3 linked regions of the Drosophila melanogaster genome follow. The gene in region 2 interacts genetically with the main gene of each other region. Each region holds a gene or a part of one and is shown on either strand. Other genes may lie near its edges.

The links. Genes that interact genetically often act in the same process or in processes that back each other up.
Region 1: of bam (region 2) and trbl, changing one suppresses a phenotype caused by changing the other (phenotypic suppression), as found in Drosophila melanogaster (one study listed by BioGRID).
Region 3: of bam (region 2) and mael, changing one suppresses a phenotype caused by changing the other (phenotypic suppression), as found in Drosophila melanogaster (one study listed by BioGRID).

Annotation. Positions count from the first base shown.
Region 1 is NT_037436.4:20,395,782-20,403,615, forward strand, and holds trbl (tribbles), read right to left. Parts: upstream 5,829-7,834; 5' UTR 5,475-5,828; coding exon 4,645-5,474; intron 1,695-4,644; coding exon 1,070-1,694; 3' UTR 507-1,069; downstream 1-506. UniProt on the Drosophila melanogaster protein: Adapter protein that negatively regulates different signaling pathways to coordinate cell differentiation, proliferation, migration and growth.
Region 2 is NT_033777.3:25,242,530-25,246,857, reverse strand, and holds bam (bag of marbles), read left to right. Parts: upstream 1-1,748; 5' UTR 1,749-1,881; coding exon 1,882-2,369; intron 2,370-2,433; coding exon 2,434-2,804; intron 2,805-2,865; coding exon 2,866-3,335; 3' UTR 3,336-3,819; downstream 3,820-4,328. Other genes in the region: RpS27 (ribosomal protein S27), read left to right, coding at 191-410, 477-505; CG11854 (uncharacterized protein), read right to left, coding at 3,844-4,148, 4,211-4,328. UniProt on the Drosophila melanogaster protein: Regulatory component of a deubiquitinase complex consisting of bam and otu. The complex deubiquitinates K63-linked polyubiquitinated proteins, antagonizing the ubiquitination activity of Traf6 and regulating the IMD immune signaling pathway.
Region 3 is NT_037436.4:22,722,227-22,726,740, reverse strand, and holds mael (maelstrom), read right to left. Parts: upstream 2,509-4,514; 5' UTR 2,176-2,508; coding exon 2,056-2,175; intron 2,011-2,055; coding exon 1,812-2,010; intron 1,756-1,811; coding exon 1,199-1,755; intron 1,137-1,198; coding exon 624-1,136; 3' UTR 507-623; downstream 1-506. Other genes in the region: CG14450 (uncharacterized protein), read left to right, coding at 1-197. UniProt on the Drosophila melanogaster protein: Involved both in the piRNA and miRNA metabolic processes. As a component of the meiotic nuage, plays a central role during oogenesis by repressing transposable elements and preventing their mobilization, which is essential for the germline integrity.

The DNA.
Region 1 (7,834 bases), on a different chromosome or scaffold from region 2:
TTGTGGAGCAAAGTCGCAAATATTTCCGTAGCCAAAGTCACGTTCGCCCACCTGATAACTTCCAGTCACTGGGTTGCATTATCAGGTTGGGAATCTGCTGCTCGGTAATGGGAATCTCAGCAACAACAATAACTAATTTGTTGACTTTCGACACTCGAGAGAATTCTCGATTTTGTGACGTGAACTATTCATTAATCTCCTTCATGAAGAAAATAGATTGGACAGTTTTGTTTTCATATTTTTGACCAAACATTATCTGATCTTAATCAAATGTTGAATTTTACTAGTACACAATATGACGCATCTAGAACCAAAAAATCGTATTTTCCCCTGACTCATTGTTTTCATCTTTTGTAGCCTTCCGCTTCTTGAGAATCTAGAATCTTCATGTTAAGCTCATAGTCTGGTTGACTAATTACACATTTATAAATATTTACAATCTTGTGTCAATAAATAAAAACAGCGTTTTTTACCCCAGAGCCCTAAAGAAACAAATTCGAATTATTCTTGGTGAGATCAAATTTCAATGTATTATGTTCTTTTTTGCAATTTTCACTTACAAGATTTTAAGAGTACACAAAGCGTAATACAGAAGTATTAAATAATAAATAACAATTTGCATTCGTTGCATTTTTTAACATGGAAACTAATGTGTTTTAAAGCCCAAAAGCAAATCAGGGCGACTGTCCTTTGATAAGATCAACAGTTTGCAAAAAAATTAAAATGTTAAATGTATTGTACATAGGTAGGTTTTAGGAAGAATCGGTTGCAGAGAGGAGGCTGCGGAGCGGCGTGATTCTTGAACGAATCGAATCGGGGCTGCAGCGCGATTGGAAGGCAGTGAGTTCTTGTGTGTCTAAGCTTTAAGTCTTTGTTGGCAGTACCACCTGCAGGAAGACGACGTGGAACGCAGTCGGAGTCGGCGCGACCCGGAAGGCCAGGATGTCCACAGTGTCATATCATCCGATATGCCCAGTCCCGGCGGCTAATCAGTCGGCATTCAGCCGGATGCAGCCAACGCGCCAGCGTGTCCCAGAATGCAACCCGTGGGTGACTCCACGAGCTCCAATCAGCCCATGTCCACATCCGTATCGGGTTCGGGTTCCGTGGACAGCCCATTGGCATTCTGAGCCATTTGGAGCGTGGAGCGCGTGTAGTCCAATGGCTCCACGCCAATGTCCTCGTACTCGTGCTTGTCACCCAAGGGACAGAGTCCTTCCTCGTCATCATCCATCGCATCGGCGGCAGTGCCTTCGTCCTCCTCCGCATCGCTCCAGTCCTCGGCCACCTCCACGTCGACTGGCAGGTACATGTGGAAGGGGCGCTGCTCTCGCAGCCACGGGGTAAGGAAGATGTGGCTGGCGGTCATTCGTTCCGTGTAATCCTTCCGCAGCAGCGAAAGCAACAGCCATCGCACCGACTTAGACAGCGTCAGGGGTATCTGGACATTCCCGTGGCGTATGACGGTGATGAGGTTGCAGTTGGCCTTCTCGTAGAACGGGTACTGACCCACCAACATGGTGTACAGGATCACGCCCAGCGACCACATGTCCGCCGGTTTGCCCTTGTACGTTTGCTGGGGGCACAGCAGTTCTGGAGCGGTGTACAGTGGGCAACCGATCTTGTCGCTCAGAGTATCGTCCTCGCCGTCGAGGATCATTGAGCCTTCCAGTGATTCATACTGCAGTTTCGTTCTGTAATTAGCAAATGACAAAATCGAATAAATAATCCGCCAAAATAGGGTACAAAATATATGTTTATGCTTCTTAGAAATAAAACTAACAGTCTTTTTTTTACCCGTTTCTATTAATATGTTGAGAACTATTGTTGCCAAAGAAGAGTAGATATGACTGCAACTTGAGTTGGCACTGCCACTATTCTGATCGCAACTGTACCCGTTCATCAGACCCATCGTCGAGCTCTACATCATGTGCAATCCCTGGGACTTGCATAACCCCCGATTTTGTGGGGCCATTAGCTAGCGCAATATCGAAGAGACTTGAATCGATCGGCCACGGAGCTTCAGTTTCAGTTGTAGTTGTCTTTGGCGTTGGCGTATTGACAAGTCAAAAGGCAAATTGGCCGAGAGAGCACATTGTGAGCTGAGCTGAGTTGACTTGGATTGGTGACGAAAGCGCAGCTTGCGACCCCCGACACCCATGAGCGAGTGCCGCCGCCGCCGCCGCCTCCGCCCCTGCACTCCACTCCACTCCCCCTCCATTGGGCCACTCCACTCCATTGACATTGGCCCACATTCGAATGCAAAAAGCAAAAAAGTAACGAAAACGCCAGCGAGCACAGCGCATAGATCCAAAGAGAGTCCGCTGTGTGAGCTGCGTGAGTAGTAAGGTGAGGTGGAGTGACGTATCGCAACTTGTTGCTGCAACGGCGCTTCTGCTGGGACCCGAGCACCACTACCAACATTGGGTATTCCGCCGATAGCGAACGGAGCGATATACAAACACACGGTCGCCGCGGTCTGGTATCCAAACATCCAAAGAGCCAAACACAAAGCAGGCCAAAAAAACCTCGAGCTGACCCTGAACAAAAACAAGCTTTGAAAACGCGCCTCTCCTCGGCACAAATCACAGTGTACACTGAAAGAAACAAATTACCTTCAACTTGATAGCAACAGGTGGGCAATCAATAAGAGGGAAAAGAGATAGCGCATTTAAATAATATATTCAAAGAACACGGTTCTTAATTAAGAGCATGTTTCTATACATTTGTTTTCGGGTTTCATTTGATTTTTGTGTCCTCTATCGTCTAGTTACCCCATTCGATACAGAAACATTATAAACTTATATTTAAGATCAAGGCAAGCATATATAATTATACTTTTAAGATCAAGGTTTTATGTGAACCAATATTTATATTTTTGAGTGCACGGAAGGCAGGTGGAGATGTGATGAGGAGAATAGTTACAGCTGCTGACCTCGATGCGCGACATAACCGAGCTTTGAAGAGCGTCTTGTGGATCTCTTCTTTCCCTCTCTCTCTCTCTCTCGCTCTATACGTTTGGCACACATTAACCCGCGACAGAGGTTAAAATAAAATCGGAATCGAAACGAAATACGGAAAACCGGCGCCGCATAAATGCTCAAACACCTTGGAAGTATTTACGTACGGCAAAAGAGTAGACAAAATAAAAGTATGAACCAGAGATTTTTACATGCATAAGCATACGCATTTGTATATGGGAGGCACTGGCATATATGCATGTACATAAATGCGTTCAAATACAGAAGATCAGAGTCAGGGACATTCACCGCACTGTGACCTTAAAAATTCGGCTCGTTATTTGGTTGTGCGTGTGTGTGGCCGCCCCGTTGGACATATGTAGATATGGATATGGCCACGCCCATAGCCCATATAGTATGTATGTACACCCAGCGAGCACTTATCTATATAGCGATGTATTATTCGAATGGAAATGGGAATGGAAGTGAGCGCCAGTAATCGCAGCGCATTTGAGTCGTATTGAACACTTGTTGTTTATTTCTCGCCAAGGTGAGAGAAGTATAGTATAGATAGAGATCTATGGGTTGGTTTCTTCCTTCCGCCGTTTTGCACTTGGCACAGAACGACGAAATGACGAAAAAATCAGCAGATATTGCGCTAATTGCAGAGTCATACGAAATCGACCAAATGTTCAAGTCGTTCCATGCTGATGTCAGTACAATTTCGAAGATAATAAGAACGGGAGACAGCGCGTTTTCGATACAGTTGTGTTAATTAACATATGCGAAAATACATTTTCGATGAAGGTGGGGTCAATATTTCATCATCCACTGTAAACTCACACACGGGAAATCGACAAATCAAGCGAACGCCGAGTACGTGGCCCACAGATCCCCACCCCAAAACCATATTGCAAATGCTATGTTGAACAATTCTTGAAATGTGGCAATTTCTAGCTTCCGAAATGTGTAATGAAAAAACGAGTGAGCCAACATTTTGGCCATCAGTGTGGCACATTGGGCCCTTGTGTACGAGTATGTACACAGAGATACAGTCGGGGTCTGCAAAATAAGGCATATGCTTGCTCACTGAATGGCAATTCAATGATATTACATAAATAATAATTCTTTAGCTACAAAGCTAATACACCATGTTAATTAATAGTTTAATAATAGGTGTATTTCAAAAACTTATCTTTGAAATTATTTAACATTTTTGATCTTATTCCCATTCATTTTTGCAATGCTTCGCATAGTAGGAATATATTTTTACTTATAAAATTAGTTTGAAACTACCATTATACCCTGTGCTGTACATACGTACGCCTTGCGTTCATTCGGTTTGTCAGTATAATTGTTGTTGTTGGCCTATTGGTGATTCGATTGCAACACTTGTTAAATGTTCAATGTTACCCACAACGACGGCGCCAGCAACAAAAACAAAAGCAACAACAGCAGCAGCAGCAGCAACTACAACAACATGGGCCAATAACAAGAGCAACAATTGTGGCACCACCAACACACGACCACAAACAAGATCTCTCGCTCATAACGAGTTTCCATCGAATTGCAAAATAAACCGACTAGCCAGCCATATGCAATTGAGTTGGTATAAGTCAGGCATATGTGGCGTATATTGGTGTATATGGGTTTTTCGAAGGTGTCACCTGGACACGCAACTCACCTGGCCTCGTCGATGAAGTAGAACCGCTTGAGCTTGAGGTCCCTGAGGATAATCCCGTTGCGGTGGCACACCTGAACAGTCTGACAGATCTGGTGGAATATGGCCCTCGCCTCCGTCTCGCACAGTCGCTTCGCGTGGCGGATGTAGGTGTGCAGGTTCTCGTACACCCCGGTCACCCCACCCGTGGAGTCCCTCTCCTGGGGCACGGGCGCAATGAGGATGTAGGTGCGATCCTTGGTAAGCGGTATGATATCGTGCACGGGTCGGATCAGTGGATGGCCATAGATGGTGCTCCGGCGTAGCTCCTCGTCGTGCTGCTGCAGCTGAAAGTAGGCTCGTTGCACCTTATGCAACGGTTCGTTTACAATACGGCAGAGGAACTGCTCCCCGGTGAAGATGTCCACGCAGCGCAGATTGGAGGCGGTTAGATCGACCAAGTGGCGATACGAGGCGGGAGTCTTGGCAGCCACGGCGGCCGATATGTGACTAGGCTGTGCGCTGATCAGATAACGCTGTTGGATGAGCTTGACGGGCTGCTGGTCTGTGGGTTCCGCTGCGATGCCCAGGGCCAGAAGGTCACAGGCTCCGCCGGGCGTCATTAGCTTCTCCCTGATGGTCTGCAGCATCTTGGCATTGGGGAACTCCTTTTTGGGCGTAAATAATCCCAGTACGGTGTCCTCCTGGCTGCTACTCATGCCGCTGCTGCTGGATGATGAGGATGAGGAGGTGGCGGCTGCGACTCCTGGCGAGACTGGTGACGAATAGTTGACTATTTTGCTTGTGGACGCTGACGAAGCCGTTCTGCTGTTTTGACCGCTACTGTTATCCATGCTTGCTTGTGTTTACCACTTCACTTAACTTTATCACAGTTCTTGCTCTCGCTACGTTTTCTTCGTCTTATTCTCTGCTAATGCTTCTTCTTACTAATTTTGTTACTCCGCTTTAGCCTGGCTGTACTTGGCTGTTAATTGTTTTGACATTTAGCGACGCGCCGTTTAGTCTCCGATTAAATTCGATTTAAACTCTCGTTTAAACTCAGGGCTACTACTACTTCGGTAGTTTGGCCATTTGCAATGCGGGTACTGACGAAATGCGGCGATTTTAAAACAAATCGGACGCTGCTCACTGAACTCGCGAAACGAAACGAACGCGACCGTCTTCTCCGCAGTTTGAATTTCAAATGTGACCATCCACGCGGTCGGAAGAAGCACGAAGCGAAGAGAACGGCGAAATACAACGGCTCTCTTTCGCACCCTCTTGCTCGCTCTCACTGCACCGATCCTTCTCTGCCTCGCTCACACCCGTTGCAGGAATTTAGCTCAATGCGGTCGGAATGGAAAGAGAAGTGGGAGACCAGAGAGCGTCGTTATTTTTTGAAATCCAAATGGTTGGGAGAGAGAGAAAGAACAAGAGCATCGTTATTTTTGAAAAAATTGCGCTGAACGCTGAAATTCCGATTCCAACTGAATTCGAAATACGTAGCTGTATGAACACTATACCCACAGCAACCCTTAAACTTTTCTTCTACGATTTTACGTAGTAATCTGCGCACCAATAAATCGTGGCGATAAGTTAATTAGAGGGGGTTAGTAAACTGATAAAATCCACAGTTTTAAGATCAAATTAATGAAAGTACAGTCAGCTTGAACTTCGATTTTGTTTTATTGAGTACGGGTACGGATATCGAAGGCAGAAACACCCGTATAACCATCTCTATAACTCGAAAATATCTTTTGTGGTTTCTTGGCTTGGATACTTAAGGTTTTCTCCTGCTCTGATAAGGTAATATTTTACAAGTTTGGTTGAAATTATTTGTTTTCCCATAGTTACGAAATTTTTAAACCAAATTCAATGATGATGTGCAGTTTTTGAGTAGTTGCTTTGCAAACTACTATTATTATAAAAAAACATAAAACATAAAACATTTTAATATCCTAATATACATACAAATTTAAAATTAAGAAATTTGTCTTCTTAATACTCCAGATTAAGATCTCTTATATCCCTAAGTATATGACCACAGATGGACATTTCAGATGTACAAACATAGTTCTAGTAAATCCTAGAATTTAAATAAATGCTCCCAAACTCGAATCTTCAAATAACGCTTCAATCTCTTGGATCCAAATCGATCATTGAATTTTTTCCTGTGCGAGATCATTACTCATTTGTGTGTGTGTATGTGGATTTACCTTGCTGTTTACCTCGCGGTGCAGACGATTTCATGATTTTTGCAGCTGTCCGAAACGAGGATCACTGGGCTACGCAGGAATTACGACAGCAACAGAAGGCAGTTATCCGAGATCCTCAAGGAGCAGGTAAGAACCACCGAGCGGCATTATGTCGCAGGTAGATTCCTACATACATATGTCAGCTGCACTATTCCACCCCTAAGCACTATATGGCAGATATAGTGCATCGGTGCAGGGCTGTACATGCGATGCAGTTGCAGTTGCAGCTGGCGCAAGGTGATTTCCCACTAAAGACATCCGTCTGAGGATACACAGGAGCACATTCGCGGTCACAATAATAGGAACTATCGCAATCGAATCTTTAGTAATTGGAAATGAGGGTCTTTAAATATAATTTTTAAGACCGAATTGTTGGACTAAAAGACCTGAAAAATGTATTTTTAAAATCGTTGATAGAATTGGTACAATTGTAGGTTAGATATAACTCATTTAGTTTTGAATTTTTTCATTCTGGGATACTGGGATTTTGAATACTAATATTTTCACCGCAACTGTTTATGCAGGCTTGTATTTCGTCCATTGGTTTTCACCGATCTCTTCGATTGAATTCTTCATATTGTAACGCTCTTTTTGAAACGCAACGTCCGTCTTTGCTTCTTCTTCCCACGAAGTAGCCGATAAATACGAATGCGAAAATCGCGAACAGAACAAATAACACCAACAAACCTCTCTTTTCGCCCGTCCCTTTTCCAAAGTCTTGCATCTGTTTCTCGAAAGGAAGATTGAAACGAGAATTATACTGGTACCGTGACACCAATGCAACCGAAAAGGGGGGAAATTATAGGGGTGGCGACATCAAATTGAATTTGAAAAATATTTTATTTGCATACGACATACTTATTTGCAAGCAATTAATGTTTCACTCTGGTCACTGCACTCACTTATACGATTAAATAGGCCTGATCATTTTGATATGAAAAGTGTATGTACGGGAAATA
Region 2 (4,328 bases):
AAAGAATTGGTTTTCCTATTGGATCAAAGTTGGACCAACACGTTTGGCGCCAAAGAAATTTCGACTTATAACTAAGATTTAGAGGATTATCTAGGCTTGAAGTAATCCAACACATTTGGCCGTAATCATATAGTATAATATATACATTAAATGAATTTATACTAATTTTGAAACTATTTTCACCTTGCAGCTAGCAAAAGATCTTCTGCACCCTCTGCCCGCCGAGGAGAAGCGCAAGCACAAGCTGAAGCGCCTGGTCCAGCACCCCAACTCGTACTTCATGGACGTGAAGTGCCCCGGCTGCTACAGGATCACCACCGTCTTCAGCCACGCCCAAGGCGTCGTGGTCTGCGCTGGATGCGCTACCATTTTGTGCCAGCCGACTGGAGGACGCGCCAAGCTGACAGAAGGTATGCTCCAAATGCTCACTGTCCAATGTTCCTTCGCAATTAACCCAAACGATGTCTTTCTTTCAGGCTGCTCCTTCCGCAGGAAGCCACAGTAAAATGGGACTCGCGATGAACCACAAATTATTAATTTTTTAATAAAAACTCTAAAACGTAAAGAAACCACAGAACCCATACGAGAGAAAGCTTGTAATTCAATTGCTGCGGTCCTTTGGTTCATTGTGCTTTGTGAATTAAAGAATTAACGATGTTGTGGTCGGCTAAGTGAAAAAAAAAACAGTTCTTGTCGTATTTGTTTATAGAAAGTGGATAATTGCCAACAGGATAGATAGTGGAGCTCAATCGCTGGGGTTCCCCGATAAGAAACCGCCCATAATGGAAGCTCTTGTGTGTGCAAATACCCTTGTGCGGCAAAACTTCAGGAATTTTTCACTAGTTATGCTTAGATCTAACCATTGATTAACTTCACAACAATAAAGAATGTTTCATAGGCTCTAAATCGAGATTTTGTGAGGCTTCTAATGATTGGGCATTCAGCATTTTTTCAAGAATTTTGTAACCGACTCAAAAAATCTTTAGAATGGTTGGTTATTCGGATCGCATATACTTAGCTTGTTTGTCTTATTTTTATTTGGATGAGCGCCAAAATTTTGCTGCGTCAGTCTGGAAAAAATTGAATCAAATGTGTATAGTTTTATAGAAGTTGGGAAGCGGAATTTATTTATTTATTTAAATATTTATAATTAAAAAAATGAAAATAGTCACGTTGTTTAACTAGTCAGTATTCGAACCAACAAATGTAAAATGTATACTGGTTTGTGTCTAAGCTAAGCTTGTCATATTAACGGAGCTGCCAGATGTTAGGAAGTGGGGATGCCATACATTATTCTAAATTTGCGCGCAATTTTAGAAGCTTATCGTCGTCAGAATTACAAAAACAAATTGAATATGAAAATGGGTTATTGCTACTTCATTATTATTGTCACGATATATGATAATTTATACAAAATGTGATAAATCCCAAATTGTTAAATAATGCTTTGGCTTGCTTTATACAAAACCACTAGATAATTAAAATATAGGTGGCCTAAATTGTTGCATGTTGTTTTATAATTAATCAGCAATTTGATTTGGTTGTGATCGACCAAATCAGTGTGTATAATTGTAGTTAAAATGTAAAGTTCGTAATGGATTATTGAATCGCATTTCAAATTTCTTTAAATGCGCCCGGGTCAATGACCTTTTGAGGTGACCATAAATTGAAACTTATTTGTGCGACGGCAACCCTGTTCTGGGACTCGACATGATATCGATACGTTAACAACAAAGAGTCTGGACGCCATCATTCTTCCTCTTTCTCCTGAATTCGCAGACAGCGTGGCGTCAGGCATTTCAAACGGTAAAAAGAACCTGGCGATAAGGAAAGATTTAAAAGGCAAAAATCGAGTGATTTGTGTGATTTAACTTAAGAATAATGCTTAATGCACGTGACGTGTGTCCTGAGGGCAACGACGACCAGCAGTTGGACCACAATTTTAAGCAGATGGAGGAGCATTTGGCCTTAATGGTGGAAGGCAATGAAAACGAAGATCCGAGGAAAGCCACTTGTGAGTACGAGGATACGAACGAAGATGGTGCAACCTGCACATCGGGCGTTTTATCCGAAATCCAGGAGAACTTCGGTAGACTCCGGTTGTGTGACGTTACTGCACCACTCCTCGAATTCCACGGTTTGGATTGCTTGCAACAGATTCAAAAGCGCTCGCGCCATTTTGCATTCGACGGTTCTCCGGCCAAGAAGTCGCGATCCGGAGGCGTGTTGGTCACCGGGCCAAAGCAGAAGCAACTGCAGAAGGAAAATGTGTGGAACCGGAAGAGTAAAGGCTCTGCGTCCGCGGATAATATTGAGAAACTGCCCATAACTATTGAGAAACTGCATATGATTGGTCTGCACGGCGATTGGTGAGTCTTCTGGAGTATATCCCAAATATATCACATAATAAAAAGCTCCTTATCTAAACAATAGCTTAGAGCACAACGCCGTGCTGCGTTTGATGAATCTGTTCAGATCCCTGCATGATCACCTGACCGCCGATTTGGGCTTCTCGCGCCAAAACTCAATGCCCTCGGACTATCTGTTCGATATGCCGGTGAAGAGCACGATGCCTAAGAGCTTGAATGTGCGCTACCAACTGCAGGTGCTGTGCACCAAAGTAGAGCGCTTCCTTGTCCAGCAGCGCCGCACCTTGGAGGCGAATCGCCACTTCGATTTCGAGAAATACGACGAGTGTGACAAGTTGCTTAAGGGTTTCGCATCCTATTTGGACAACTTCAAACTGCTTTTAAAGCCCAAAATGCGCAATCGAAACGGAAACTCGGGGAGCAATGCGGACAAGTGTAAGCTGTAGATTTGCAAGCAACCATTCAGCTATTCCTGCAACGATTTTATTATTTACAGTCCATACTCAGCGCATGGAGAGATTGCTAATTGGTCTGCGCGATTGGATCAAGGCTGCGCATCTCAGTGTGCACGTATTTAACTGGGAAATGGATCTGGAGCACCGCTACTCCGGGGCCATGACCGAAAGCCACAAGTCGTTGAACGAGCGGGCCATCCTTTTGTCCGGTGCCGAGCTAAGGGCGGCCGAAGCGCGTGGAATCAGTGCGGAGGATCTGTTCATCGCCCAGAGATACAAACTGGGAGGTCCGATCTATTGCGTTCTGGAGCAGCATGAGTTCCTCTCCGCTCTGATCGCCAATCCAGAGACCTATTTCCCGCCCAGTGTTGTCGCCATTTGCGGGCCACAGAAGCTTGGCGCAGTGAGCATGGAGCAGCCGTCAGCGTCGGAGGAGGAGTTTGAGGAGACCGAGGAAGTGCCATCATCGCCACCTCGTCACACCGGACGTGTACCTCGCTTCAGAAGCTAAACTAATGCTGTGCACATCGATAAAAGAATGACAGCAAATATGCAATTTAAAAAAGCTACTCTTCTCATGGGAAGCAATAATTTCGTAAAGTAAACATATCTATAGTGTAAGATATATTTGTCCAATAGTGCGGACTCCATATTTGTATTCGTGAATAAGCTTATATAAGCTTTTTAAAAATATTTATCAAATCGATACAAACAAAATCAAAATGAAAACGATTTATTACCCCTGTTTTGAGATTGATAACAAATTTATATAAGTTTAACTGTGTTTACATTTATTTGGCAAAACTACAAATGTGTTTGCTTTTCACTTTTATAAATCTGTATTTTACTTAAACTTTAGAAATAAGAAATCCTTTAGTGCCTGAATTTATTTTGCAACTACGTTTTATTTGTATGAGGAACTTACCAGTTTTTCTTATTTGCTTTGCATTTGTATTTTGAAAGTCAAATAAATATTTACGATTTGTGTTTGGACTAATTAGGGTGTTTGTACTAAGGTCTTAGACTACAAAGAGCTGTTCGAGCGGCAGTTTGCCAAAGATCCTGTCCACCACCGACTTGGCTATCAGTCCGAAGGCCTCGCCAATGCCCGGTTTCAGTTCATTGAAGATGTCCTTCCAGTTCTCATTGATAAGCGCGTGCATGTTCTCGCTGAGATCTTTCTGGCCGTTGAACAGATTTTCCAGCTGGTAGGTCACATGGGATGGATCCAGCTCAACCTTTATGTTCATCACCTCGGCGTAGGTTTGATGATCGCCCTTGGAGACGCGCTTCAATTTGATCTGTGCACGTACCTTTGTTCTAGCTGCGAATTCCAGAAACACATTAAAAATTTTAGATTTCAAAGCTGTGGGAGGCAAATCTTACTGAGGCGTATGTCAGCAATGCCATTTCCGGTGATGGGCAGAATGAGTATTCTTCCGTCCACCGAGTAGGGTCCTCTGACTCCTATTTCTGGAACTTCCATGACCAGCTCGATGGAGCG
Region 3 (4,514 bases), on a different chromosome or scaffold from region 2:
AGCTGCACAAACAGATCGACTTTCCCGCTGACCTACGCCTCGAATTCTCACAACAAGAGCGCTACCAGCGCGAGCTTCTAGGCCAGGCACTTCTCCTCAGCTTAGCCTTTACTCGTCTCGTGCTTCAGCAAGATCCGCAAAGCATTGCATCTGTATCTCGCAACTCTAAAAACTCCTCTCCAAGTCGAGCCACTTAAAAAGCTACAAGTGTAAGAATATGAACTCGACTCTTTTTGGCCTTTGCACTTTGTATTATAATGACCCGTTGAACAATTTTATGCACAATATTTAACAGGGGTTTTAATAGGAGCAGTTTCTAATGGCACAACTGCATTTCCATGGAATACCATAAACATAGATTATTTTGAGCTTGGCCCCACTTAGCTAATTAGAATTTGTCGCCATCAAAAATATCATGTCTTTCTTTCATTACTGCCCACATATTAGGTCTTAAAAATATTTATTTAGCAGAACTAAAATAAATAAATACTTGATGCTGGCCCTGTCCGTTTGAACGAATTTATTTTTAAATACAAGTAATAGTATTTGTACAGTTTAATGCGATAAGAAAATTATCTATAAGGAATCATTGTTTCTTAGTCCAATTGATAGACCAAAGTGGCTTATTTTTTAAGTTTCCCATCAGCGCCGTTTACGGAGAAGTCGTTGTCTGAAACCTTCCGAATTAAACGCGAGTGCGTCGGTAAGTTCCTAGCGTTCCATTCCCGCTGAGCACTAGCGGCGATACCGTGATGCTTACTAGAATTACGCATGCCGAGGCTGGGGAATTCAGAAACTTCGTTTAAATTTGCGGCAAAGGAAGTGTGGTCTATGGGCTTGTAGGAGCTTGATGCGACGGAAAGTCGACTGCTAGAAAGCGAACAAGCTTCGGGTTGGCTTTCCTTCTTGACCCCAGATCCGGGAAGCGAATAAAAAGAGTCGAAGGAGGACTCGTGGTCGAGTGAGGAGGCGTACGAGCTTATGATAAGGTAGTTGGGTTTTGTTTGGGCAGGTATGTGCTTTCCGGGTTGGACGGTTATGGCCAGGTCTCCGCACATAAAATCAGTGAAGGTATACGCCCATCTAGTCACCATACTCTGGGTACAGTACTTGGTTCGATCATTATCCTCGTGGTACTGCAAAAGTAATCAGGAAGGAAGTCAACTAGGGGTTATCAGAATTGGGAACAGAATCTTACCTGACACGCAATCCCTGCGGTAAACTCGAAAAAGTCTTTCTTAAAAAAAGCATCCGTCGCGAATTTGTTGATTTTCTCGTCATTCAAATCAGCGACATTCATGACCTCCTTCTTCAATATGAATAGCAAGTACTGGATATCAAACACCTGGATTTTTTCGCCCCCGTCCCTGAAGTCATCATCGCACTCCAAATAGCGGAAGCATGACTTCACCATGGTAATATTTTCGGCGGGTGTAAAGACTACTAGGGTCTTGCCTTTTCCCTGGCATTTGGATAAGTAGTCAACAATGTTGCGGTACAGCTTGGTCATGTTCTTCTCCCCCAGCGCGTTGGGCGGCAGCGGCAGGTCGTGAGTGGTTGAAGAGTGAAGCAGGGCATCGCTACCTTGCCCAAAAATGATCTGACCGGGGTCAATCATGGTGCTGTAGATGGATCGGATTCCCTCCTTCAACGAATATTCGCATGCCGCAAACTCGGCGGGCACATAGACGTCGGTGGTCAAGGCTTTAGTGAAGTAGTTGAAGGCAACGAAGACAAACTTGGCATTCTCCAGATCTGCGGCAGCGATTGGAGTTAGTCGAATCCAAATGTCTTCGAAATGTGTGACTTACCATGGGACATCTTGGCGTTTAGCACGAGGCGCTCGATGGTACGTTTCATGTCCATCAAGCTCTCGGTGGCCTCCCTTTGGGCCTTGTCCACCTGGCCGTGGCCGTTGGAACTTTCCCTTTTGGCGCGTTGCGCCACATTTGCGTCCTTGCCGCCTGAGTTGTACGGACCACGCTGCTGGGTGTTCATTTTCTGAAAAGGCTTCATTTATTACAGGGTAGATCCGCAGCATCGACCAAAACTTACCTCCCATATGGTGCCGCAGTGGGAAACAGCCTGCGCCAGCGTCATGCGTCGGCCCTCGGCGTTCCGGTTTCTCCACTCGTTTACGAACATCATAAACCCACTATGCTTCTTAGGAGCCATCTTTACGGGCGTGGCAAGAAGAAGGTCGGTATTTTTGACGGGTAAGGGTAGGTGTTGAGCGCGTGTGCGAGCGAGGTAGCGACTAAAGGCGGTAACCAATGAACAGCACGAGCAATTTATATGAATGTTGTTTGTATGTACGTCTGACCCTACAGAAATGGTTACTTCGGAATGTCGCGGGTGGCTTCTCTTCTGGCTTCTCTCACGCACGATTGACTTCTCTTCCAATGATCTGGTCTGTGGAATATATCACACAATTCTAATGAAGTGAAGCAGTTGTTTTGTCAGACGTCGATTCCGCTGACACTTCAAATATCTATTATTGACTGTTTTGGCGTTGCTGAGCACTAGTATCATTCCAGAACTATCGATTCTGGAATGGAATAAGAGTTTGTAAATTTATAATTAATTTATATTTATAATATAATAATTTATATTTCATAAAAATGGTTTAATCAAACCTAATAGCATAATCATCTATCGTCATGCTTTGTAATCGTATGAATAAACTGCACTTGCAGTTAAAAGCAGCCTAATTAAAGATAATACTGCTTATTTATAAATCAAATGGTCGACCATCGAAAACTAAAAATTTTTTAAATCGAAATTCTCTTTCGTAAAACTACAGTGTAAACAGTTGAGTCGAAAAATTGTACATATGTATGTATATCCACCCACAAAGTCGATGTGCTTTAGGTCTATGAAAAATTCTTTCTTGGAAATGGTTTGTTTAATGGTAAAGTAATAATATTGTTTGTATGTATGAACGATTTGTCTGAATCGGTAAATTCATGCTGAATATGAAAATGGTTTGGTCATCACACCGTTTTTGGTTAAAATGTTGTTGTTAAAATGATAAGCATAATCATTTAGAAAGAACTTATTATACCCGTTAACCGTAGAGTAAAAGGGTATACTAGATTCGTTGAAATGTACATATGTAAAAGACAGAAGGAAGCGTTTCCGATATACAGTAAAATATATACATATATATAGTAAAATTAGTTGTTATATTTTTTATTTGAGTCGAATAAATGCCCCGTCAGTTGACTAAGGACAACGCTAAGAAATAAAAAATGATCGGAGAAATAGTTTTAACGTTTTAGTTTTTTTAAGAGTAAAAATCAAATGCAAATTGAATTGAGAGAACCCTCATTATTTGAACAATATTTGTATCTCGGGAGAGCCTCGCTCTTGGGTTCTTAAGATAAGGAGAAGGTTCAAAGAGAGCAGTCAAATCGGCTTATGTCAGGTTTTAGGATGTTTACAAGAACGGCTGAGTGCCGCTGCCAAAGAATTCTTTATTAGAAACGGATGCTGCGCAGCTGGGATACATTATGGAAAATCAATTAAGTGCAATACTGTTTTAATTGAAGTGGCCGGTTTGGACCACCCGAATACGTCACTATATGTATATATTCATGATCAGCATCAATAGCCGAGTCGATCTGGCTGTGTCCTTCTGTCCGTATGAACGCCGAGATCTCAGGAACTATTAAAGGTAGAAGGTTAAGATTAAGCATACAGATTTTAGAGACAAAGATGCAGCGCAAGTTTGTTAACCCATTTTGCCAAGCCCACTCTAGCGCTCACAAGCCGCATAAAACTGTCACGATCGCACTTTTAATAAATGTGTTGATATATCATCACATTTTTAATAGTCTAGAATTCGTCCAGTAAAAGTTATACTAGATTCTTTCAAAAGGTACAAGCAATTAAGATTAAGATCTCTTGGGCCGCCTGTCTCTCAGTAAGAAATGTCTAGAATTCAGGAAGTAGAAGGTGGATATAAAGTATTCTGCTCTTAATTTTTGTTTAGGAGCAAGAGGGCGGAGAACTCTACAGCCATCAGCTGTTTTTACGCATCCAGTGACAACCGACAAGTGCATCTGTGCACATTTTACAATAGAAAGGTCGCATATTTTTATTTATTTTATAAATATTAACTTTTAACTATGTATGTTTGTATTATTTTTACAAAATATATTTTTAAATATGTATTTTCTCATTTTGTTAAATTTATGTTTTAAATTACAAAACTAATAATTATAGTTCTAGATAGCAACTTTATTTATAAGTTGAAATATTGATGAAATTAATGTTAATGCTTTAAAAAGTATTGCTCACAGTGCCCTGTTGAAATTTTGCAAAAAAATTGCCAAAAACTCCAAATATGTAGAATATGTATGTAAATTTTCTTGAATGAAAATTTATTTCGGGCCGAAAATCGTCTTCTAGCACAAGTACGCACACATATACAATTTCTCGTTTGTATGGTCAATGTATGGCCGTCACGCATCTTTTTATTCTAATGTATTTGGTCCTACGTCATTAGGAAT